Linked DNA regions of Drosophila melanogaster. The protein of the gene in region 3 purifies or fractionates together with the protein of the main gene of each other region. This does not show direct contact. Each region holds a gene or a part of one and is shown on either strand. Other genes may lie near its edges. The genes, in order: GstO3, Snx3, Bacc and CG8036.

Region 1 (3,762 bases), on a different chromosome or scaffold from region 3:
ACTCCGGCTTGTCTGTGAGATTAATGTAGATGCTGTGATACGGGATCTGCTTGGCGTCCAGGACCAGATGCACCCGTTGGGCAAATGGGCAGAAGCGCATCGAGTACAGGCGAAGGATACCATCTTCGGGAACATCCGGCATGGGTGAGCCTAGTGGGCGCATTTATTATCAATTATGATTATCCTGGTTTCCTGGCTCTACCCACCTTTTGCCAAATGCCTGCCGTTACTCATGATGTGCGTGCTCGGGTCCAGAGATGCAAGTGGTGATAGCGATTGTCATTCGAGTGATTTATAAAGTGCAGCTCACTGCCCTTCGCCGGTTGGCTTCGCTTACGCGGCTGAACTTGGTGGCTTGCGGCTGACACACATACCAAGCCATGTGGATACAGTGAAGCCCCCTTGCAACCTGCATATTGCTCCAAAATATTTGTTTAAAACAAAACTTTTTAAGAACTAAGTTTTTCGAACCACGTTCTGTGAATCTGGAACGGAATTCTTGCCTTTCTAGCCTTAATTCATTTCTTTGTCACATAAAATATTTTAGTTTTTATTGTTTTTAGAACATTATTAAATCTCCTTTGTTATATAATAGTTTCATTTTCAGTACCGATCTAAGCCAGCAGATCGTAGTTTGCATTGCCGGCCTTGCGGGTGCGCCAGAACTCGTTGTGCTGCTCGGGAGTGGCATAGAAGGACTGCACCACCGAGTCCGCCTTCAGGAGGGCAATCCACTTGGTGATCTTCGGGAAACGACTCTCGTTGAAGTTGTACTCCTTCTGCAACTTCAACTCGATTACAGAGAGGCGTTCGAACCAGGGCCAGATCATGTAGTCCACGAATCCCGGCTTGTTGCCGCCAAAATATGGGGTGCCCCGCTTGGTCAACTCCTCCTCAAAGATATCAAGTGCCGTCCAGTAATCCTCCAGACCGGTGCCCTGCACAAGGATGTTTATGAAGGCACTGGTGATGCTGCTGAAACGTTCCAGCAGAATCTTGTCCTGTGCCCGCTTCAATGGGTCCTTGGGCAGCAACGGATTCTCCGGGTACTTATCGTCCAGATACTCGGCAATAATCAGCGACTCGATGAGCGAGGGCTCACCCTTCTCCGCCACCAGCTGCAGGGCAGGCACCTTAAGCAACGGACTCACTTCCACCAGCCACTCTGGTTTCTCGGTGAGATTGATGTAGACACTGTGATAGGGCACATTCTTGGCGTTCAGGACGAGATGAGCCCGCTGAGCGTAGGGACAGAACCTCATGGAGTACAGGCGAAGGACTCCATCGTCAGGGAGTACAGGCTTGGGGGAACCTAAAGATAGAATTTATTTACCAGTTAAATTTAGGTTATACAAATAAATCAATAACTTCATGAGTCACTTGTGGAACCCTAAAATCCACCCCTGTATTATTATTTGTTTAGCAAGTCATTGCACTTAAGTTAATGTTGATAGGGCCCAGTCGTGATAAAGCTCAAATTTTGTAGCTACGTTATCTTTTAGAGTGTAAATATTATGGGTTATCTGATATCGGGGTGAAAGCTATAGCTAAAAATGTAAGTAAATTTTACAAATCAAATAATTAATTTAATGCATTACCTACAATTGTAAAAGAATAAAGATCGTATTGAAATTTACCAAATAATATACCTTTCTAACTTTTTAACCAAAAAATCCCAGTTATTCATGCCAATATTCTTTAACATTATGAAATATAAAAATCGTTATTCGATAATTACGCTGAATGTTGGAGAACTTGTTTTATAAATAATACTATAAACACTCTAATGACATGGGCGTTTCTCTTGGCGGCGGCGACAACTGGTTTTGCTTGCTCTCTTACCTTTGGCCAAATGTTTACCAGAACTCATTTTGTTTAATTGCAGAACTGAACAAATTCGCTTAACTGTTGAAATGTCGACGGTGAAATGCGAACTGAGTTTTCTCTTCGACGGCGCTCTGTTTATATAAAGTTTTTTGTTTGTGTTTTAACGCGAATAAGAATAATCGAGCTTTTTGCGACGTGACTCTTAGTTTTCGTTAGCTTTTAAAAACGATTTCTCATCGCAGACGTTTATTTCGATTTAAAACGCTTTACTACATTTGCGATTTGTTTTGTGGGAAGAGACAATCATTTCCTCCGCATTATACATAGTACATCTACTTAGTTTGTTAATAATCACGCCTGTTTGTAAATATAGATATATTTTGTTTTTACATGGTTTGGGGGGAGCTTTATTTTTGTTTTTAATTGAACCTCGGAACTACTACGTACATTTAGAGTTTTAAGTTTATGAACTTTTCGTAAAAAGTTTCGATCGGCGGACTTTCGAAATCAAACTTAATCTATGTACAAAAAAGTTCTCGAAATTTCCGTTCATGCCTTACAAAAAATACAAAAAAGTATTAATACATATACAACAGAGTTGCTGACATCATTGAGTCGCGATAAATAGTTGTTATCAGTAATTGCATTCGAAAAACCAAATTGGAAAGTAATAAATAATGACAACTACACTTGCTGCTGGAATTAATTGTTTATCAAAATGTAAAAAGATCCTTTCGCTGCTTTTGGTCCTACAAATGGGATTTCTTTTGATGCATCCTTTTGAAAACTCAAGTGGATGATTAATTTTTAGTTTTTAATTCATTTTAAAAATGTCCGCAAATGGTAAACATTAAAATTTAATGATTAAACTGTATCGTTTTTTTTCCCGAATCAATTGCGCGTTGTTGTTACGGTAAATACATGGGATAAATAGCTAAAACTAAGTAAATACGTACACTTAAAAAAATTCTACACACTGGAGTTAAATGTTGCTTTGCTTTCGTTTCTGAATTTCTTGCTTTGTCTTGTTTTGCATCGTTGCCTGACGATTTCCATTCTAAGTTTCGTTTATAGTTTCGTTAATTTTTTTTTGTTCGCAATTTGTATTTTGTTTGTTGCTCTATAAAATATGCAAACTGGTTGCATTTTGATCACGGTTCTTGCTGTTGCATATAAACATCCATCTCACTTTTGATTATTGGAACGACTTGAGATTTTTGAAAATGAATGAAGAATATGGCTGTTTTCAAATTTATCCATGGGCATCCGGTTTCGAATCCTTCAGCTTCATTCGCCAATGGTCCAATGGTTCTTTGAAGTTGATCCCTATGGCTGGCCTTAGCCATTCGGTGAGGTGGATGCTCCAGGAGATGTGGTTGTGGCCACTGCATCGCTGTTGCTCATCTTGTGCAGCATGAGGGAGTGCGTCGATCTGGTGGCGGTGGAGCTGGGATACTTTGGCTGCATTTGGCTGTTGGACACTGTGGAAGAGCTGCTGGTCGCCGGCGGTGGCGGTGGCTGCTGGCTGCAAGTGAACAGAGTTCATCAGTGTGCTTTTGCTAGCCCTTAGGACACACACCCCTTCTGCTCGCCATCCTTCTTGCTGTTGAACATGGCCAACTCGATCTCCGTGTGCTGGCTGTTCATGTGGCGCACCCACTCCGCCGGCGTATCAAAGGATCTGCACATGGGAAAGGGAGTTAGTATATATTTTGCTTCTATAACTCCAAACACTTACGTGGAACACAAATCGCAGAGCAGAGTTACGTGATCGTGATCCATATTGTTCTCCTGTTGCTGAAAAACACAATATATAATCTGGTTTTAATACATCCAATAGATATTGGTAACCGATCATCACTACGAGTTAAAATCATACTTCAGTAGATTTGGATTTATTAAAGGGATGAGTTGCTGTCCAAGTACTCACCGAAA
Region 2 (4,771 bases), on a different chromosome or scaffold from region 3:
CGGTTAGAGCCTCCAGTTCTTTCAGCAGGACGGAGTGTTGGGTGCACCCGGTTTTGTAGTAGCTGACCACCGCCCGGTTGTGCCGCAGGACAGGACCACTGCTCTCGCCGCGCGTCTCCAACTCCTGGAGCAGTTCCAAGCAGCGATCAAACTCCGAGCTAGAATGAGGAGCAGCCGGAAAGGAGTGGCGGTTATGGGTGCACTTCCCGGTGACACGCGGATGAACACTCACTTGTTGAACTGCTCGTGCGCCTGGCACAGCAGACTGTAGTTCTCGTCCTCGCCGGCCTGCGTTTTGGTGGGGGATTCCGCCGAGTCCATGCCAAAAATAAATAAAAACAAAAAAACCGAACCAATCCACAGATGACACAGCGTTGCCAGAATCAACAAGCACAGCGTTGCCACTTTTAACCGTAACTAAAGCGGTTAACCTTATTAATAAATAAGTTAATTCTTAACATTAAACAACTTGTTAAATTTCTTGTTAATTTATTAATTAAAAATTAAATTGTTAATATGAACAAATTAAAATATATTCTATATAAAATTTTAACTTTACAATGGTCAAATTGGCATTTTGCTGTCGATAGGTGGCAGCACATCACTAGTCTAGATTTGCAGCGCGCGAAACCTATACCTTTATTTCAACTGAGACTTTTGTTTGTGATGATATATAATATTTAGAATAATAAAATATCCATTTATCGTTTACAATTTTTGATCCACCTACCCACCCAACTGTAATTATCCTTGCATTCAATCGAAGTTTCCTGTTTCATCATATTGTTATTAATCCTCGCCTGGTTTATATGATGGGAACTACATAGATTCAACATCGACCAGTTGAAGAACAAACTTCCATCCCGCAGAATTGGCTAGGAAAAAGGCTAATATTTTATACAAAACTCAACTTAATCTTCAGTTGCGCATCATTTTCAAGCACATTCAAATAATATCAGCAGTTCAATATTTTTGAATTATTTTAATTTGATTCGAAGTACAATATTATTCACTAAACTGTTTCAAAATATTCAATAATTTGCATACACTTACAAGGGATCGATTTTGGGGTCAGGATGGCTCCCTTATTTTATTTGCTGCTTCATTACCGCTGCAATGGTTCAAAACGAAGAAACTGAGGATCGGGAAAATGGGAGGGGCAGCTCCTACTTTCGAGACTCATTTAGCGAGGGCGTAGTAGGCATGTCTTATGTACACTATTCGTAAATATGTGTATTGTGTATAATATATATATATGTGTATGTATATTGTTATGTATACCATATAAACTTGAATTTAGCATTAAAAATTCCCAATGCTGGTTTTTAACTAATCCCCGGGGGCTGAGAGGGGCTCAACATTAACTGAGCAGCAGCACTTCCCGCCTCGTATCGCGTCGCATAACAGATCCCTTCTCCACCAACCTACATCATCGCTCATCTGCTCCATCCTCCTCCAATCCGGGCAAGCACACACATTCACACGGCTTCCCATAAAGATTTCGTAGCAGGTTTGTTCGTTCGAGTTTTTGCTTCATTGCATTGCTATGGTTAGGGGGTTTCGATTGCGCCGGACTAAGCTGCTTATGTGTTCCGAATCTTGCCGGGCACGTAGTTCTTATCTATGACATTCTCCTGCAGGAACATATGCAGGCAGCGCTCGTTCTGCGCCAGCGGATGTCCGGCTATCTTGTTGATGAAGGCCTCCAGTCCCTTGCGCCGCTCCTCGATGAAGCTTTCGTCAAAGATGCCCTCGTCGCCGCGGAAGGGCATCTGCCGCTTCCATGCCTTTCCTGGGAGTGGTGGCACCACAATCTGCGGGGATATGTATGTTCATGATTAAATACTCTTCAGGCGCTTATCGAAGTTTCCGTTTTCACTTATAAAACTCAGGGTTAAGTTTCCTCTTAAGGATTGAAACTTTTCTAGTGGCTTCTTATAATTACAATGTATTGTTTCGTAATTCTATCTAAATAGATTCTGAATAGTGCGGATTTTGAATCTATTAAAGTGAAAACGAAAGACTACCGCCTGGATCACACTTGTCCGTACCTTGCTATCCCGCTCCAGCTCGTTTCGCAGCCACTCAAAGTCGCTGTAGCGTCGCCTGACACTGGACTCCTTTACCTTAAAGACGGGCAGATTGGTCTAAAAAAGGAGCGATGGTTAATCATATGTGGTGGCCAATCTTATAGAGTAATTCAATGAAAGGTCGGTGCCGCATAAAGGCACCCGCATGCCGCATTTCCGTGACTCAAGCCGTGACACTGGAATCAGTGCTCTGCACTTGTGACTAATGTTTATCGGCCGGCTCGCTTTATAGGCGTATCACCCGCACTCACACACACACACACACACACACACGCACGCACACACACATGCACAGCGAGACAAAGTCGCACGAACACATGCACACAAGTGTGTGAGCGAATTCCAGCGATTATCAATGGTTTTTTCGGTGAATTTTGGAAGGTGCATAGGTGGTGCCCCCATGTACATGTACTACGATCACTCACCCGCATCCGGACCTCGTAGTCCGTGTAGCGCTTCTTGCCCGCCGCCATGGTGGTCAGCGGATTGACCACGTCGATCTCCAGGAAGTTGGCGGGCACGGCGTACGCATCGTCCAGTGTTTGCTTCTTCACGTTTAGGCGGCGGGTGGCGTCGGCGGTTCCATCGGACTCAACCATCATAGTGGTGCAATGCCAGGGGCTCCGGATCGGCAGAGCTATAGACGCCCCTTTTATCGGTTGGAAGAAACGGGTTTTGCACTGGCTATCTCTCTTTGTGCACTTCTTTGTCGCGGCTCGCTGCCTCCGATGTCCCGGATTCTGGTACTATTCAATTGCTGTCCCCGAGCACTGCTTTGTTTTACTTTCTGGGTGTCCAAGTGCCGCAGCGGGTAAACAACTTTTGTAATTTAATTAAATTTGTTCCATTAAAAAACTTTCCAATAATTAACAGAACTGTGCTGTGTGAGTTAACAGTAGGGGTGGTACAAATCAATGCTTCCAAATTTATCGATAACATACGGCGATATGGCAGCTCTCTGTGGGTGAAAAACACTGCTAACTCCAGTGTAGGTAAACAGACTTGTGAGTGCGTAGCTGCCATACCGATTTCGTCACCGGTTCATTTGATACCATATGGCAATGTGGCAGCCCTGCTGCGGTGTGGAACTCCACTAAATGGCAACACTAACAATTAGTGTTGTAAAGCGCGCGAAACGGAAAGTTCCTAACGCGTGACGGGTCATGTGACGGCACGTGACGTCACAGCAGATTCACATTCAGCAATACTTTCAGTTCCAGGGCAATTTTTCATCGTACTCGCAACGACTTCGCAGGCCAAAATTTTGCGTGTGTGTCGCTCAGTACTGTTTCGTAGCTGAAAAATTGTATGTGCTTGTAAAAGACCACGTCCGAATAGTGGCTAAAAGCTAAAATCGTATCTAATTGCAGCTCGAAATTTGCAGTGCACTTTCAAGGTAGAGGCGCAGAAAAAGTCTATCCAAGATGAACGCCCAACAAGCCCAGCGGGAACATGTCCTCGCCGTCTCCCGGGACTTTATCTCCCAGCCCCGCTTGAGTGAGTAATCCACGGAATTTGCAAATAAGTGAAATATCAAGAAATGCATTCGCAACCCAATCAAGTGACCGAAAAAAAAAACCCAATAAGAAAATGCCAAGAAAGTCCGCCATGACAGTTTGCACGAATCTGGTGTGAGGCGAAGTAGAGAAAAAATCAATAAATTCTTGCGACACCCACAAAAACACACAATTAACAACGTAACAGAATGAAACCTATAGAATAATATTTCATATAGAGCTTTAAATGTTCTACGCTGATCAGATCGTAATGGGGAGCAGCCCATAATCATGGTTAACGCTTATTGAAAATTTTCGCCGTCACATGACCGTTCGCTGCTCAGCTGTTTGCGTTTGCCATTCAAAGCTGAACGCACACACTTAAAGGCACCTGACTGCGAACGGGGTGGGTGGCATAACTGACGATTGATCGGTTCGGTCGATAGAGAGAATTTCAATGTTTTTTATGTTGGCTGTATTCATGTGTCAAATTAGTAGCCATTGTAGATAAAAATATAGTTGCATTGTTTTATGCAGCCAGTCAGTGTAGGCTTGTCTTTTAATGCAATTTATATATTTATCTTCGCTGCATATTTCAATCCCTTTTTCCTATCTAATTCCCATAAGATTCCAACTGCAGCTCGTGGCAAGGGCTAAAAACCAGTTGGACAGTCAGCTGACATAATTTAGCCTCCCAGTCAACACCCCCCTCGCGCCTACACTTTTCTTTTGACGTTTGCTTTCTTATCAGATTCCGACTTTCATGTGAGCATTGCGCGACTCGTGTTTTTGTTGGAACTTTATCTAATTGGAAGACGAAGAAAGCAATGTGCTACAAAGTAAAATTATTAAAACTTCGTTTTTATTGAAAAAAAAGTGATTAAAAGAGAAACAAATATTGAGCTGCCCTTTTAGTATATTATTTCCAATGACATCTATAAAAACAACTTAATTGTAATTTTTTTTAAAAAAAGATCCCAATTTTTATGGTCACTTCAGTGATTTAATTAATGACCTCATGGACATTGCAACAATTAAGAAGTAGTTTTGGGTTTGACAATATTAATTTAATAAGACATGAATATAATATAAACTAATGAAGCAACTTTTCTGAGCTTTAAGTTTTCTGATATCGATGAGCTGATAAAGAAAGGATCCGCATATCTGTTGTTTTCTATAGTTTAA
Region 3 (7,814 bases):
AGAAATGGCTTATGAAACTTAAAAGCTCTTAAACTTTTAGAAATTTTTGCGCTTATATTTGAATTTGAATATAAAAGTAGCTCAACTTCATTTGCCCAACGAAGAGCCCGGAATTTCATCATTCGTTTTTTTAATAGGCATCTGCTAAGGCTAATCGATTTTCAATCCGAAAAAGGTACTTAATCAAAGGAAATTTCCGATTGAATTTTTCCATCATCCCTTAGTATATGATTTCTTTCATAGGGAGGATTGTGGGAACCAGCTCGTCAACCCCCGAACGAAAACTGGGATATGGAAGGGATGGATCGGAGTAATGTAGGGGCGGCCAATCTATGAATTATGTACCTACATACGTACATGCTCCTGGCTAAGAACTACTACCCCTGGGAACACCGAAGCGAGGTGATTGCCCCACCCAAAATGGCCAACTGCAATTGAAACAAACTTTTATTGGCATCGGAACAGATGCCAAATGGGTGGTATGTACGTACGGTTTTCGCTTTTACGTAATTACAATAATTTATTTCATCGTTCAAAATTGTTTCTTATTCTCGTTTTCGATTCGTGGTTCTTTTCTCTTTTTGCCCTTTCGCGCTACTAGATGTTATTCTCGCACGGAGCAGATACATGAGTAATTGGTATTTACAAAAATGCATAGTTCTTTAACATTGTCTGTGATATCGCTATTGTTTATCAGTTATCAAATCGGATGATTTATCTTGGGCATATTGGTTTAATTGCACTCAATTATTCAGTTGCTGGTTGGCATTACCAGCTTTAAGCCTCTTGGAGTTTGGATCTGGGTCAGTGGGTGGATTGTGTGTGTATGTTGGGCTGGTCTGTCTTTCCGGGACAAATCGTTTAGATTCGAGGATGGTGGTGGTTGGGTGGTTTCGGTGTCGAGTGCCGTGATTGACCAGCTGGGCACGATTCGTTTTGAAATATCAGTCGTTATATGTTTATATTGAGAACTCGTCGTACGGGGTGTGTGTATAAATAGTTTGGATGCCCTTACTAATTAGATACATGTAACATTAAAAGTTTATTTTCTTGCTCGTTTTTCGATTCTCGAGTTGGTTTTTACAATTTACAAATGAATTAGGCTTATCAACGACTCGCTCGCACAACTTATCAACAGAATAATAAAGCCCTCGCTTTAATACTGACATAAGTACTTAAGATTAGTCATAGTTTATAGTTAAATGCTGAAACGAAACAGAAGGTTAGAACTCAAACTTCCCGATGTTTTCCTTTCATTTTTTTTTGTTTTTTTTTTTTGTATTTGCCCCAAAAGCGAAGACCAACTAAGTCCCAGTGCCTTGGGTTTGGGAAATTCGGGTGACTGTGGCCACAATGGGCGCGAAATTTTTGAAACCATAGCTAAAACTTGAGTGTCATTGAATGCTTGTCGAGTATGGGGTTTCAATGATTTTTGCGATTTATTTAAATACAATTTTTATGTTTTATTTGTTTTGTATTTAATTGCATTTGCTGTTTCTTTTTCATGTTCATAATCATGTTCATTTTCAAATGTTCACTTTTGTATTTTTGCTTCTTTCGATCGATCATTCATTCACAAATGTAACGTCTAATTTAATAATGAATTTGAATATCGTGTGTGTGTGTGAGTGTAGTGTATCTGTGTTTAATTCGCGGGCTTCGTTTACGCTACATTTGAAATCTTTGTATATCTTGGTTTACGCATCAACTGGGCGTTTAAATTAGGACTTATGAGATAAAGGAAAGAAAGATTTTGGTTTTGTTTTGTTCTTGTATATAGTGGGGATGTTTACTTTTTGTTGGATTCCGTATAGGTTGCGTTTATACGAAAATGCCTTCAATTACAATTTTTGTTTGTTTTGTAGTTTTTTATAAAAAAAGTACACATAAAATACAATTAAAATAAGGTAAGAAATAAAAAATTATTTCTTAAACATAAAAATTATATACTTTTGCGATTTTTTTGTGGTTTTTTTCTCCTCCTCCTCCTCATTTTCTCCTTGTTGTGGTTTATTTTCTGCTTGTTGGTTTATTATTATATTTTTTTTGTTTTGTTTTTGCTTGTAACTTTTATTTATTATTAATTTAAATTTTTGTTTGTTTTTGTTTGTATTTTTGACTACATTATTATTACGCCTGATCGTCCGAGCCGGAACCGTCATCATTATCATCATCATCATCTGCGCGGGTAAGGGAAAGGGAAAATCCGGGGATTAGATTGATGTGGAAAAGGGAAGTGCTTCCGTGAACTCACCATCACATTCAATGTCATCCTCCTCACCATCGTAGGGGATGTCGTACTCGTCGCTCTCGATTTCACTGTCGCCCTCGATGATTTCCTCCAGAGCCTCTTCCTCATCGGAATCTCCATCGGCGGCCGCGGCCTTCTTGGCCTTCTTTGATTCTGCGGATTTGGCCTGGAAGCGAAAAAAGAGAAGTTAGTAGAGTTCCTTTGGTTTTTGTTCCGCTGATGATTTACTGTATTACAAGCAAGTTTATTGAACAGAAATAAGGGGCCCGTCACTATTAATTATGCATTTTTGATATTAATCTGAGAAACAAACTAAAGGATATTAGGGAGAATTACGGAGCGAAATGGTCCTACGCGCCCAACTCAAACCCACACATCTCCTTGATCAAGGGCATCCAATACCCCTCTCAACTTCCTGTGCGTGTGTACATAGTCATAAAATGTATATTTTCAGCACACAAAACAAGCAGCGACGAAAATCGTTATTTTCGCCGTAAAAAAACATTTGAAAAATGCGCGCGCCAATGTAATTCGCTGCGGCAAAAAGAGACAGCGGGAGAGAGAGTACGTGAGAGAGTGGATTACAAGTGCAACCGCGCTACATTACATCTGTGCTCCGTATGTACAAGGCGACATATTTACTACATAAGGGGGAAGGAAAAAAAAACAATAAGCAGCGACGCCGGCAGCGACATATGTATCCGCATCCGTGAGATACGAAACGAAGCGTGCCCTGTAAGATAGAGAGCGGGCGAGAGCGCCAGAGAGAGAGCATCTGAATCCGCAGCACTGTAAACTGTACCTGAACTGCATGAATGAATCTCTCGCTCTCACTCACAGCCATCCGAACGACAGCTGCTGCAGCGACGTCGGCAGCGAAAAAGGCGCAAAACAACAACATGCGTGGGTTTAACTTTTGCCGCTGACCAACCAACAACAAGATACACATAATGGTATATGGTTTATGGCAGTATATAGGCGGTCACGTTCCCAAGTCGAAGAGAAGCCGCAACACAAGGGCCCTATTTACCAGACTGTTACAAAGCGGAAGAAGCGAAAAACAATCGGACTGTGGAAAAATGTGCAAAATTAATGGCCACCCATCGCCCCCCTTTTTCACTTCGCTTACAGCATAAGTCACGAGACCCAGAACTCGAGAAAAGGCCAATAGAGGATTAAGACGAACAGGGTGTATCTGTATTGGCAAGAACTAAGCCTACTATTACTGGTGTTATAACTGGGTAATCAATGTATCTTGATTTAGTTAGAGGTTTTAGTTTGTGTTTTCTAAGCGTGAAGATACATTTATAGGGACAAAAGCTAATCTGTTGTTTGGAATCGAAAGATATGGAAACCAACGAATAATTTTCAAAACTATTCTTGAAATCTATACAATTCGTTACTGTACCACTAAGAATTATCCGTGCCAAACGTATCTCAACTAATTCATGATCATGGGATAATGATCATTATTCAATTGAATCCCGAAGAAACCCAACTAACTTTTGCGACACCCTGTTTAGCCGTCTTGTTTTATGTACTAAAATAAATACGCATAAGGCAGAGCAGAAAAAAAAGTGAAAGATAAATGTAAGCACATACGCAAACAGACAAAACGGTGTGTATACAAATTACGAGGGAGAGAGTTAGCAGCGCTCTCTATTTGTATCTATCTTTCTCCGGGGAGAGAGAGAGAGAGCGAGAGAACGCTCCCGTTAAACTGTACATTTTTATTTCGAGTTTGAGTCTGAGAAAAGCGCTTGATTTGCCAATTTATCTGCCTTACTGGCCGAACTATTTTATTTTTATCAAGAAATGTGCTACTCGATTATGGAATGCGACTGCTTCAGGCCCCCAAAACTTGTTCGAATACCGCGTGCTCTTGGCGATACTAACCAAAAATAAAGTGGCCAAACATGACATGAGTAATTTACCGGCCGGCAATGTGTGTTTTCATTGAGAGAGTGCATTGGCATCGCGCTGAATTGCGTTTGCGTTTGCATTTGCAATTCCCGTAGCCACAGCGACTGATAAATAAGGCCAAGCGTATGAGTTATAGACGTAATGCCACAATGTATCTATTGCTGGGTAACGCTGTTCAGCGGACACGTCAATGCTAATGACCTATGGGTTTATTAAAAACACATTACCCACCCCACCAAAGAAAAGGCCCTGGCTAACTGTACTCCCCGCCTATATAAGCACGGCGGCCCTCCTAACCTCGATTTGAACCTAACAACAATAATCTTTGATTGCCGGACCCGCAATCATCTTGGTTAATCGTAAACAACACAAACGCACAACCGAGCCAGCTATACGCTCTCTCTTTTGGGGGCATATGTAAGCCATTGGGAGAGTGCGCTGTTCCGAAAAACGTGTGTATATCTATTTCTAGAATTTTTCCTCGAACAATGCTATGCTACTGGCATATTGGCTTGGAGTGAATCATTAGAGGGGCCTCCTTTTGGTTTTACCGCGTAAACAACTACCTAGTCACATAGATCAGTACTCACTTCTGCTGGCCTCTTGGTGCCTTTCACGGATTCCTTTGCGGGGGCAGCGGCGGCGGCATCGGCGGCATCCTCGCCGTCCTTTGACGTACCGTTGTCGGCCGCGTCGCCGGCGGCATCGGCAGCAGCGGCCTTATCCTCGGCGGCCGCCTTCGCCTTGAGATCGTCCTTGACAGCAGACACATCATCTGCCGCCACCTTCTCCACGGCCACATCGCCGTTGTTCTGTTGTTCCGTAGCAGCCGACATATTTGAATTGGTTTCTTTGAGGTTTTCCGGAACTATTTAGTTTCTGCGTTATATAGAGAACAATTCGGGTTGGTTTTGTGGATTGTCTTGTTGTTGACAAAAAACCAGCGCAAAATACTCGGGGAAGGCGAGAGAGAGACAGAGAGAACCGCACCGAACGAAGCACACAAACACACTGAATGCGATTCAGCTGCGGGCCGTCTATTTAAGCACTGCCTCTCGAGGAGAGAGTAACTTTCTTTAAACGCTCTCGCTGCTCTCTTTTTCGCTCTCCCCGAAATCGTTACGACGCTCACTCGCTCTCTCTCTCCCACGCCATTGGCCCATACAATACACTCAAAAAATCGCCGCGGCATTTGTACAGCCGCAGTCGATAAGACAACAACAACAGCCCAGAGCAGAGCGATCGTTGGATTTTTGGTATATTATTTTGCGGTGATTTTCTGATAATATAGTATCTATATAGTAAGGCTTTAGGAGGTGCCATATATCAGGCGGCGCTACGGCAGGCAAAAGGATTTACTCGTAGGCCCCACTGATGTATGGAATATCCGTTTTCCTTTGGTTTGCTAACCACCGATATGTGCTCCCGTCGACGGTTCGTACAAGACTGAGCTTGCCGTCCGTTCGATGGCTAGAAATTGCCGCTTGCTTCTTCTTGCGCCAAATCGGTTGCAGACATTTTTGCCTATAACTTGAATACCTTTGTTCGGATCGGTTCAGAGACTGATCGAGGCTATAGCTGGTAGTATCCGCTTAATTTTGGGCTTTTTCCCGAGGCGCTGCGATCAAAACTAGATCCGCAAATGACAAGTTGAGTGGGTTTCCTGATTAATTCCATACAAAATCTGCTTGGGTTCCGTGAGTACGGTTGTGGGCGCGTTTGGCGGTAAATTTGAAAATTGCGCGCGCCAGTGGTGCGCTTGTGGGCCTGGGGGCGGGGTCTGGGGGTTGGTAGCGGCGATGGTGGTGTGTGGTGTGTGTGGTGCAGTCACTCTGTGGCGTTCTGACCGTTCGTCGGTGGAACAGAACAGAACAGAGCAGAACAGTGGATGTGGATGTTGCCGATGGGAAGAAGTGTTGCAGCATTGTTGCCGCAGATGCAGATGTGTGTGCTGTGTGTTGTATTCAGCACGGTATTCGTATTTATAGAGTGGACCAGCGTGGGACGCAATGTCGTCGCGGATTGGGGTCAATTGATTGGTAACGTGTGGGGAAGCAGGTGATTTTCGCGGACCAGGAAAGCGGGCAGCTATTTTTGAGATTCTAACTATTTAGATGCACGCAATCGGGGAAATGCTCTATTCCGGGATTATGCGTCTTAAAACTAGAATTAGAGAACTGGAGAAATAGCAAGAAAACAGCAATTTGCAACCCCATAAGATTCGAAAACATTTAAGGGTTAGTTTTCGAAATCGGCAATTTCCAGAAATATTAAACATCCTTAAGTCCTAATGGCCCCACCAAAGACTTCGACTTAAATGCCAATGCCTATCACTCGTCGAATTGGGTCCACCCTTGACTCTTTTTTCATGTGCCAATCTTTCTGTTGATCCCGCACTTGTGGTTCGACCATTTGATGGTGATGGCTTCGTTCGCCGCACGAACCCAGTGGGTTCAGGAATCGCCCAATATATGGGAAACTGGAACTGCCGAGTAGGCTATAACATATCGCCCATATCACCTGGTAGTCAACGTGCTCGAGTTGTACTGGCTCTTCTCTATAAATCTGTGTTATCAGTGGGACAATCACTGCGAGGTTGATCTTCAAGTTCATTCAAAATGTGCACATTAACGAGCGGAATAACAACCCATAAAGTAATACTAGAGGAATTCGACCGGAAGACATAAGGTTCTTGGTGCTATTTCCAGTAGCCTATCGACGAAAGGGTAATAACTATCGTTTGCCGGGTATCCAACAGTCGAGTTTCGATTGGACAGCCTCTCACGCTTTCAGCTATTTTCGTGCGAAAGCAATGGCAAATACGAATACCTAGGCTATATATCTGGTAATCTGAATAATACGGTCGACGACAGAGCGAGCGGACGACTGTCGACAGGCGGATCGCTAATTAAAACCGGCGAACATGTTCCGCGGCATCCCAACCGAGGCGGCATGGTGAACGTAAACACCTGTAATCGTGGCCCGTCGTCCACTCAGTTATCACATATTTGAGGAGCAGCGATGACTTTTTGCCTGAACATCGCTGCCTGATAAGCCGATTTGCGTCTCCATTTCGCTGTGCTTCCATGGGCCGCCTACCGTTCTTCTCTGGCTGTCACTGTCTCACTTTCCGTCCGCCGAACTCTCAGTATCCGTTCGAGTGGCTTGACGCTCGTCGGCCCAAGATTGGTGGGTCTCTCGCGATACGAATAGTCGTGCTCATCGGGCTTGTGAGACCACCTCTCGGTGTTGAACAATGGTATCTAGATTCCTGAGGACAACCTGTGCCAATTTCTCGAGTTATCGGCTTGGTTGGTACGACCGTAGTTACTTCAAGGTTAGACAACGGTTTCAAATGCAGGCAACCACCGGGTAGGTAGGATCTCAAGCAGGCAGAAATGGATGGATGGTCCTGCTTCCCGGAACCCAAACATCTGTCGATTCGGAAATTTTATGGCCCTTTCGAACACGAAACTAACGCAAGGGATTTTTCCCCGACCGTTGTCGTTACTGACCTGCCTCAGGAATTTCTCCCAGTGCACTTACACGTTGTTGCGTCATTAATTTGCTGTAGCATAAAGGTGCGAACAAATCTCAATGCAAACACAATCGATAGCCAGACGCTTCAGCTAGCATGTGT
Region 4 (7,806 bases), on a different chromosome or scaffold from region 3:
CGACTCTGAACGAACGGTGACGGAAGTGCCGACGGGGGAAATTCGTGGCGCCTCCGTGGAGTCCAACACCAGCAGCAATTGTGATTATCCTGCAGGCAACGTGCGCATAGATTGCGAGGACGGTCGAGTGTTCCATGCAGCCCATGTGATATGCACCATACCGCTAGGCGTACTGAAAAACACCCATCGCACTCTCTTCGATCCTGTGCTGCCGCAGTACAAACAGGAGTCCATCGAGAATCTCATGTTCGGCACCGTGGACAAGATCTTCTTGGAGTACGAGCGACCATTCCTCAGTGCCGATATATCAGAGATTATGCTATTGTGGGACGACGATAAGCGGGATATGAACAGCTCCGAGGAGGAGCTGGCCAGCGAAGCGTATCTCAGCAAGAATTGGTTCAAGAAGATATATTCGTTTGCCAAGGTGACGGACACGCTGCTCTTGGGCTGGGTCTCGGGCCGGGAGGCGGAGTACATGGAGAAGCTCGACCATGAGGCAGTGGCTGAAAAGTGTACGGAAATACTTAGGAACTTTCTGCAGGATCCTTACGTGCCCAAGCCAAAGCGATGTGTTTGGTAAGGCAAAGAAACATTATTTGGTTAAGAATGTTGTATATTAAAGAAAAATCTATTTGTAGTACCAGTTGGAAGTCGCAGGACTTCACCGGTGGCGCATACACCTCAATACCGGTGGGCGCAACTCAGGAGGACATCGAGAACCTCGCCCAGCCCCTCTATGCCACGCCCCAAGCCATGAAGGTCAGTTCTACAAGCTTGCTTCCCCGGCAATTGTTCACATTTTAATATATTTCCCCAGCCCGCCATAGTCTTTGCCGGAGAGCACACCCATTCCAGTTTCTACTCTACCGTACACGGCGCCTATTTGAGCGGACGGACGGCAGCGCAGCATTTGCTGGCGAGCGATGAGCCAGACGAAATCATCATGGAGTCGGACGGCAGTGATCTGAGCGCCTGGATACAGGGCATTGCCCTGGACTGAGTCTAAGCTAATCAACGACCACTCATCGATTTTGTATTATAATTTATTAACGTTATTTTGTACACTCTTTAAACGCTTTTTAGCTAGTGATATTTAATTTGTTCGATTGTAATTTATTTTGCTAGCGTCGTAAAACGATTTAACTCATTTTTGTACATCCCTTGTGAGCATTTGTTTTATTTTGTTGATGCAATTATTTTGTAATTTATTTGGAACCCGCTTGTACATTACTATAAATAAAAGTTACGAATTAGCTGAGCTGATCAATGTGCTGCCAACTCGAACAGACCGTGCACCCGCAGCAGCTTTCACTGTACTTGGACGAAAAAGTGTGCACAAAGACATAATGTTGTTTAGACCTAATTACCGATTAGCAACCATAAGTGTATGAATACAAATATATTGCCTATTTTTATAAATTCGTATTTAACGTAGAAAAGGTTGCACCAAAAGGTTGACACTAAGACGATCGAACAATGAGTGCAACTAATGTATATTTGAAAGTAACTATTGTTAACGTTAACTATTTTGCTAACTAAATTATGCATTGGTTGACTCTTTAAGGCGGAAAAGGAAAAGTTGGTATTCATAAGTCCGTTCTAACACTTGGATCTGCATATTTATTTGTATTTGTGACAAAAATATCGACTTGTACGCATAAATAAATAAATTAAATAAATAAATTATTGAATGAAAATGTATAATTTTAAATAGTAAAACACAAGTCGAAGAAAGTTTTGATTTTTTAACGATGGGGAGAGATCTGTATTATAAAAATCAAGTTGTGCTTTTGGTTTTAGGCCAACAAAAGTCTATAATTCAAAACATATGTAGATATCCTAAATTATTTGAAAGTCTTTCGCATTGCACTCGTAAATTTTTTGTGGATACATTTACTCGAACTTAGCTAAGGTGTGGTAAAAAAGCTAATAAGGATAAGGTAGGTGGAAATGAAAAGGATTGACTAAGCTGAATTCAAGAATGCATTAAAAATGGCTTGTAAAAAATTCGACAAAAAATCCTTCGAGCCGGATTTGAACCAGCGACCTATGGATTTCTATTGCATGTTTTCCAACTACAGTCCACCGCTCTACCAACTGAGCTATCGAAGGGGGCGTGCTGGGGAGTAGGTTAAACAACGGGTATCCGATTCATCGCGACTCTTCAATAAACTTTTGTTGGTAATCGGTTTAATTAATGCGTATTTTAGCTTTTAATGGATTGAGGTCACGGACAGCATATGCCATGTCGTTCAAATACCTTTTCTTTTGATTGTTGCTAAGCTAAAATTAAATAATATATTGATGTACGCGTAAAGTAAGACATGTTCATTTTCACGTGTTTTTAAAATTGATATTCTTCAAATTATTATTCATTTTATATAACATTGTGTTTATAAAATGTCTTTTGCATCTACATGTTTATAATTGCATACTATTTTATATATTTTTTATGGGGTACGGGTGCTACTATAAAAACAAAAACGAATTGGATATTACAAAAAATTACAAAAAATCCTTCGAGCCGGATTTGAACCAGCGACCTATGGATTTCTATTGCATAATTTTCCAACTACAGTCCACCGCTCTACCAACTGAGCTATCGAAGGTTGAGTTCAAACTTGGCCGTTGTTCGTTTTATGCATGCGCACAAACGAAATGCACCGTATTTGGTTATTTATTTTTGATTTTTACTTATTTAGGTCAAACAAAATTGATCAACTTTCTCTATTCAGTCCATTGCAGTAAGCCTATAGTTTCCAAGCCTAATAGCCTAGGCGCTTTTCACAAACTATATCAATTTAGTTACGGTTTATTTCTTCCAAATAAAATCCTTCTTATATTATTTAGTTTAAACAGCTCAGTTATATTCTGAATGTCTGTAGATGAATTAAATTGATTTAAATTGTGCACTACAAAATATATAAAAAAAAAGGTATGTGCACTACAAAATATATAAAAAAAAGGTATTTATATCTTTTCGATCCTTCGAGCCGGATTTGAACCAGCGACCTATGGATTTCTATTGCATGTTTTTCCAACTACAGTCCACCGCTCTACCAACTGAGCTATCGAAGGTTAAATTCGCTTGCGGCTAATTCACCTTTTGTTCAGGAGCGAGGTGGGGAAAGTGACAAAAAGAGAGGGCACTTCTCTTAAACACCGCTGCTCTTTAATACTCGCGGCCAGAAAAATAGGACCTTAAATTCTTGTAAACTTATATTAAATACTAAAGCATTGTAAATCTTAATGAGAAAATATTCAGGTACAACTGTTCATGGCTTAATTTTAGACCAAAATTGTGCATGAATTTAGAAAGGCAGCAATGCACTATTTGAAACTAACTAGTTACCCACCCACAGCTGTGCACCGATAAAGGGGTGGTGTGCGAGCAAAGATGCCATATTTATACATATATCCATCTCGTTCCAGCGCCGACGATAGACGATACCGATACTTTGCGAGTCCGCTCCCAAGATTGAGCCCCCACAGCGTAAAAGCGACCGAAGTGCCGGCGACGAGAGCAGTTCGTTCCCAGAAGCCGGCAGCAGTGGTCCGTTGATAACTCCGACTCGAGCTACTTATCCACCACGTCGATACTCTTGTCTGTCTATTGCAAACATAGAGGAGTCACCCTTTGGCTAACGAATCCGAAACTCCCGAGTTTTGTTGTGCAACATATCAAAAACCGCATTTGTTCGGATCCAATTTACATTCGCATTTCAAAGATGTCGTACCACAAGCCCGAAGCTAAGACCGTCCAGGATCTGAAAGATCTGGCCCAGAAACTGCGAATTCACTCTATCAACGCCACCCAGGCCTCCAAATCGGGGTAAGTTTATCAATAACTGAAAGTCCATAGGCATATTAAAGTGTGCGTATTTAGATTTGTTTGTGTAGATGTGAATTTTAAAAGTTGTGCACCTTGCACTTGTTGCTTCAAAGGTGACCCCCTCCATTTCCAGGGTGGGTGCGAAAAAGTTTTTGAGGGGGCTGCTAAATACATACATACATATGTATGTGTTTTGAAACATTACAAAAGAAAATAAAACAAAAATAGTTACGCATATACATAGTTATGCATCTATGTTTGTATGAATGTGAGAAGTAAAATATGGGAAGACCGGTTCCTTTAGTGACCCCTCCTGGGATTCAGTTGCCAACCCACGTGTTGTCCAGTAGCTTTAGTGAATTTGCGAATTTGTTGCCCTGCCTGCGTGCTCAGTGATAAGCCGCGTTCACCTACCTTAAATTGTGAGCTAATATTTTTTGACCTTAGACAACCTTGAAACGTTAGGTTTTTCTTACTGCCTTTTAATTTCTTTTGCTTTTGTTTTGTGCGTGGCGTTCAAAACGCCGAAAGCACATACATATGTACATGGGGTAAAAACAAACATACTTACATATCAAACAGAGGCATTTAATATACGTATGTACATATGTACATACAAGTGTTGGAAAGCACAGCTTGTGACGGGAGTGGAATTGGAAAGAGAGGGATGAGAATAGTAATGGAATGATCCCCTACACTTGAGATTTACGACTGTATGGCTTTTAATGTAATTATATCTCGGATAGACGCGATCAAATTATTACTGCAACAGTAAATAAAAAAGTTACTATGCTGATAAGGAAAACACTTTTATCGCCTCCATTAGTTTTTCCATTCTGTTTCGTTTTTTTTTTTTTTTGTGACGGTTCAAGATAAGATCTGCTCTGTTTGCTCTAAATGTGACCTCTGCCGACGAGATAAGCCCGGTTTGGTTACTCATTGACCACGATATGACCGATTAGAGGTGACCAGCTCAAGTGTGTTCCCCGCATGATAATCGAAAATCACTGAAAACTGATAAAAAAAAAAAAAGCGCGCCGGGTCACTGCTAACACTCCGTATCACCTTCAATAGTTCTTGATATGGCTGCAGGAAACGGGGACGCACTTCGGAACTATCTAGAAGCACGTGCGTTCACAAAGATCGCCATGCAACACAATCGTGGAAGCCAAGAATTTGGTTTTTAAGGCTATTATTTAGGTTTTTTGGTGATCAGAAAAGTTCAAGGTCCCAGAAACCGGTGAGGAATTGCGATGGACTCACGTCGCGACAAACACACATATCACACCATATAACGCCAATAAATACATATGCATGTACTCGTTATAGTTTATTTATATGTCTGGGGTAAGACGAGCCCCCCATTTTGTCTGGGGTTGCGTGTTTTCTTTGCGGTTGGAGTTGTGCCAGATCTGCGATTCAAAGCAATTTTTTTTGGAACACGATCGCATGGGAACATTGAATTCCAAGAATGGATCTTATCTTATTTATATGTACATTGCAATTGGATACTCGAGAAATCTTCATTTGAAATATGAACAGAGGGGGGGGGGGGGGTTTAAATAAAAGCTTCAATAGACAAATGGATTTCTTTTATTAAACAACGTTTTTAACAAGTATGCACAGTGTTCAGTTCCACTTTTCCTTTGTTGATCGGCCTTCACTTACCCACCGTGAGGTCGACTTCTATAATTCATTAGGCACTTACCTTAACCTAGAACTACATGCAAACGAAATGCCTTGTCACAATCTAATATTTTGCCTACTTTTCCCTCTTTATAGCCATCCCACATCATGTGCCTCGATCGCTGAGATCATGTCCGTGCTGTTCTTCCAGCAGCTGCGCCTGAACCTGAAGCACCCACGCGATCCCTCCAGCGATCGCTTCATCCTGTCCAAAGGACACGCTGCTCCCATTCTGTATGCCGCCTGGGCTGAGGCTGGTCTCTTCCCCATCGCGGATCTGAACAACCTGCGCAAGATCGACAGCGATCTGGAGGGTCACCCGACGCCTCGTCTGAACTTCATCGATGTGGGCACTGGATCCCTGGGACAGGGTGTCGCCGTCGGCGCTGGCATGGCCTATGTGGGCAAGAACTTCGACAAGGCCGACTACCGCACCTACGTGGTGGTGGGTGATGGTGAGTCCGCCGAGGGTTCCATCTGGGAGTCGCTGCACTTTGCCGGCCACTATAAACTGGACAACCTTTGCGTGATCTTTGATGTGAACCGCTTGGGCCAGTCGGAGGCCACCTCCCTGCAGCATAAGCTGGATGTTTACCGTGATCGTCTGGAGGCCTTCGGCTTTAATGCCGTCGTTGTCGATGGTCATGATGTCGAGGAATTGAGCAAGGCTTTCCATTGTGCTGCAATCACCAAGAACAAGCCCACCGCCATCATTGCAAAGACGTTCAAGGGCAGGGACTTCCCCAACATCGAGGATTTGGACAACTGGCACGGCAAGCCACTGGGCGACAAGGCCGCCGAAGTGGTGAAGCATCTGGAGGGACTGATTGTCAACAAGAACGTCAAGCTGACCCCTAAGCCGGTGCCCAAGACTGGTGCTGCTCCCGACGTGGACATCAACAACATTAAGTTGAGCTCGCCACCCGCCTACAAGCTGGGTGATTCCATTGCCACCCGTTTGGCCTATGGAACAGCTCTGGCCAAGATTGGCCAGAACAACCTGCGTGTTGTTGCCCTAGACGGAGACACCAAGAACTCAACTTTCTCCGACAAGCTGAAGAACCTCGACCCGCAGCGCTACATTGAGTGCTTCATCGCTGAGCAGAATCTTGTGGGAGTGGCCGTTGGAGCCGCCTGCCGTCGCCGCACTGTGGCCTTTGTGTCCACCTTTGCCACCTTCTTCACCCGTGCCTTCGATCAGATCCGTATGGGCGCCATCTCGCAGACGAACGTTAACTTTGTGGGCTCCCACTGCGGCTGCAGTATCGGTGAGGATGGTCCTTCGCAGATGGGTCTGGAGGACATTGCCATGTTCCGCACCATTCCGGGCAGCACCATCTTCTATCCCTCCGATGCAGTGAGCACGGAGCGTGCCGTCGAACTGGCCGCCAACACCAAGGGTGTCTGCTTCATCCGTACGTCCCGTCCCAACACCTGTGTGATCTACGACAACGAGGAACCCTTCACCATTGGCCGCGGCAAGGTGGTGCGCCAAAAGAGCTCCGACGAGGTGCTTCTGATCGGAGCTGGAATCACTTTGTACGAGTGCCTGGCTGCCGCCGATCAGCTGGAGAAGAACTGCATCACCGTCCGTGTGATCGATCCGTTCACCGTGAAGCCATTGGACGCCGAGCTGATCATCGAGCACGGCAAGCAGTGCGGAGGACGCGTAGTCGTCGTGGAGGATCACTACCAGTAAGTGTTCTTTGTAGTCTTTTTATTTGCCTCCTTTGCTAACTTGAAATTTACTTAATTTCTTATAGGCAAGGAGGCCTGGGTGAAGCTGTGCTGAGTGCCCTGGCTGGCGAGCGCAACTTCGTTGTCAAGCACTTGTACGTGCCCACCGTGCCACGTTCGGGTCCTCCGTCGGTACTCATCGATATGTTCGGCATCTCCGCACGTCACGTCGTCAACGCCGTTAACGAGATCCTCAAGGATTAGGGGACCAGTCGTGATCTGGCTACATTCATTTACCGCCTACAGGAATTCCCCCAGTTACTACTTACTTCCAATATTACCATTCCCTCTAAGATTGTTAATTGCTTCATTGATTTGAACCTTACATCATGGAAATAAAATATCTTTAATAAAAATAGTTAAGCCGAACTATATACCTTATTTACATATTATATTACTTATTTACTATATTACTTATTACATGTTAAGCATGCCTTTAAAATGGCTGGACGATTTCATTGCGTTTGCCTTTGGTTTGCTTTAGACTTGCTTTGGTTTGTTTTTAGTTTGCTGTGGTTTTGCTTTGGTTTATCTCTGGATTTGCTATG

The links.
Region 1: the proteins of Bacc (region 3) and GstO3 purify together in Drosophila melanogaster (affinity purification with mass spectrometry, with the first as the bait; one large-scale study listed by BioGRID). This does not show direct contact.
Region 2: the proteins of Bacc (region 3) and Snx3 purify together in Drosophila melanogaster (affinity purification with mass spectrometry, with the first as the bait; one large-scale study listed by BioGRID). This does not show direct contact.
Region 4: the proteins of Bacc (region 3) and CG8036 purify together in Drosophila melanogaster (affinity purification with mass spectrometry, with the first as the bait; one large-scale study listed by BioGRID). This does not show direct contact.

Annotation. Positions count from the first base shown.
Region 1 is NT_037436.4:8,517,062-8,520,823, reverse strand, and holds GstO3 (glutathione S transferase O3), read right to left. Parts: upstream 1,940-3,762; 5' UTR 1,871-1,939; coding exon 1,843-1,870; intron 1,313-1,842; coding exon 615-1,312; 3' UTR 529-614; downstream 1-528. Other genes in the region: se (sepia), read right to left, coding at 1-150, 207-234; CG6765 (uncharacterized protein), read right to left, coding at 3,166-3,352, 3,407-3,508, 3,566-3,624, 3,758-3,762.
Region 2 is NT_033777.3:12,626,265-12,631,035, reverse strand, and holds Snx3 (sorting nexin 3), read right to left. Parts: upstream 3,006-4,771; 5' UTR 2,693-3,005; coding exon 2,516-2,692; intron 2,148-2,515; coding exon 2,052-2,147; intron 1,815-2,051; coding exon 1,584-1,814; 3' UTR 541-1,583; downstream 1-540. Other genes in the region: Not10 (CCR4-NOT transcription complex subunit 10), read right to left, coding at 1-158, 233-321; Vha55 (vacuolar H[+]-ATPase 55kD subunit), read left to right, coding at 3,515-3,587.
Region 3 is NT_033779.5:2,750,611-2,758,424, reverse strand, and holds Bacc (bacchus), read right to left. Parts: upstream 5,981-7,814; 5' UTR 5,585-5,980; intron 5,431-5,584; exon of another isoform or gene 5,357-5,430; intron 5,193-5,356; exon of another isoform or gene 5,054-5,192; 5' UTR 5,011-5,053; coding exon 4,765-5,010; intron 2,418-4,764; coding exon 2,255-2,417; intron 2,181-2,254; coding exon 2,131-2,180; 3' UTR 505-2,130; downstream 1-504. UniProt on the Drosophila melanogaster protein: Negatively regulates tyramine beta-hydroxylase tbh and thus the conversion of tyramine (TA) to octopamine (OA).
Region 4 is NT_033777.3:8,666,094-8,673,899, forward strand, and holds CG8036 (uncharacterized protein), read left to right. Parts: upstream 1-1,774; 5' UTR 1,775-1,943; intron 1,944-2,022; exon of another isoform or gene 2,023-2,115; intron 2,116-2,518; exon of another isoform or gene 2,519-2,612; intron 2,613-2,987; exon of another isoform or gene 2,988-3,081; intron 3,082-3,435; 5' UTR 3,436-3,731; coding exon 3,732-3,835; intron 3,836-4,406; exon of another isoform or gene 4,407-4,812; intron 4,813-5,617; coding exon 5,618-7,216; intron 7,217-7,284; coding exon 7,285-7,462; 3' UTR 7,463-7,609; downstream 7,610-7,806. Other genes in the region: CG8032 (uncharacterized protein), read left to right, coding at 1-579, 642-762, 821-1,003.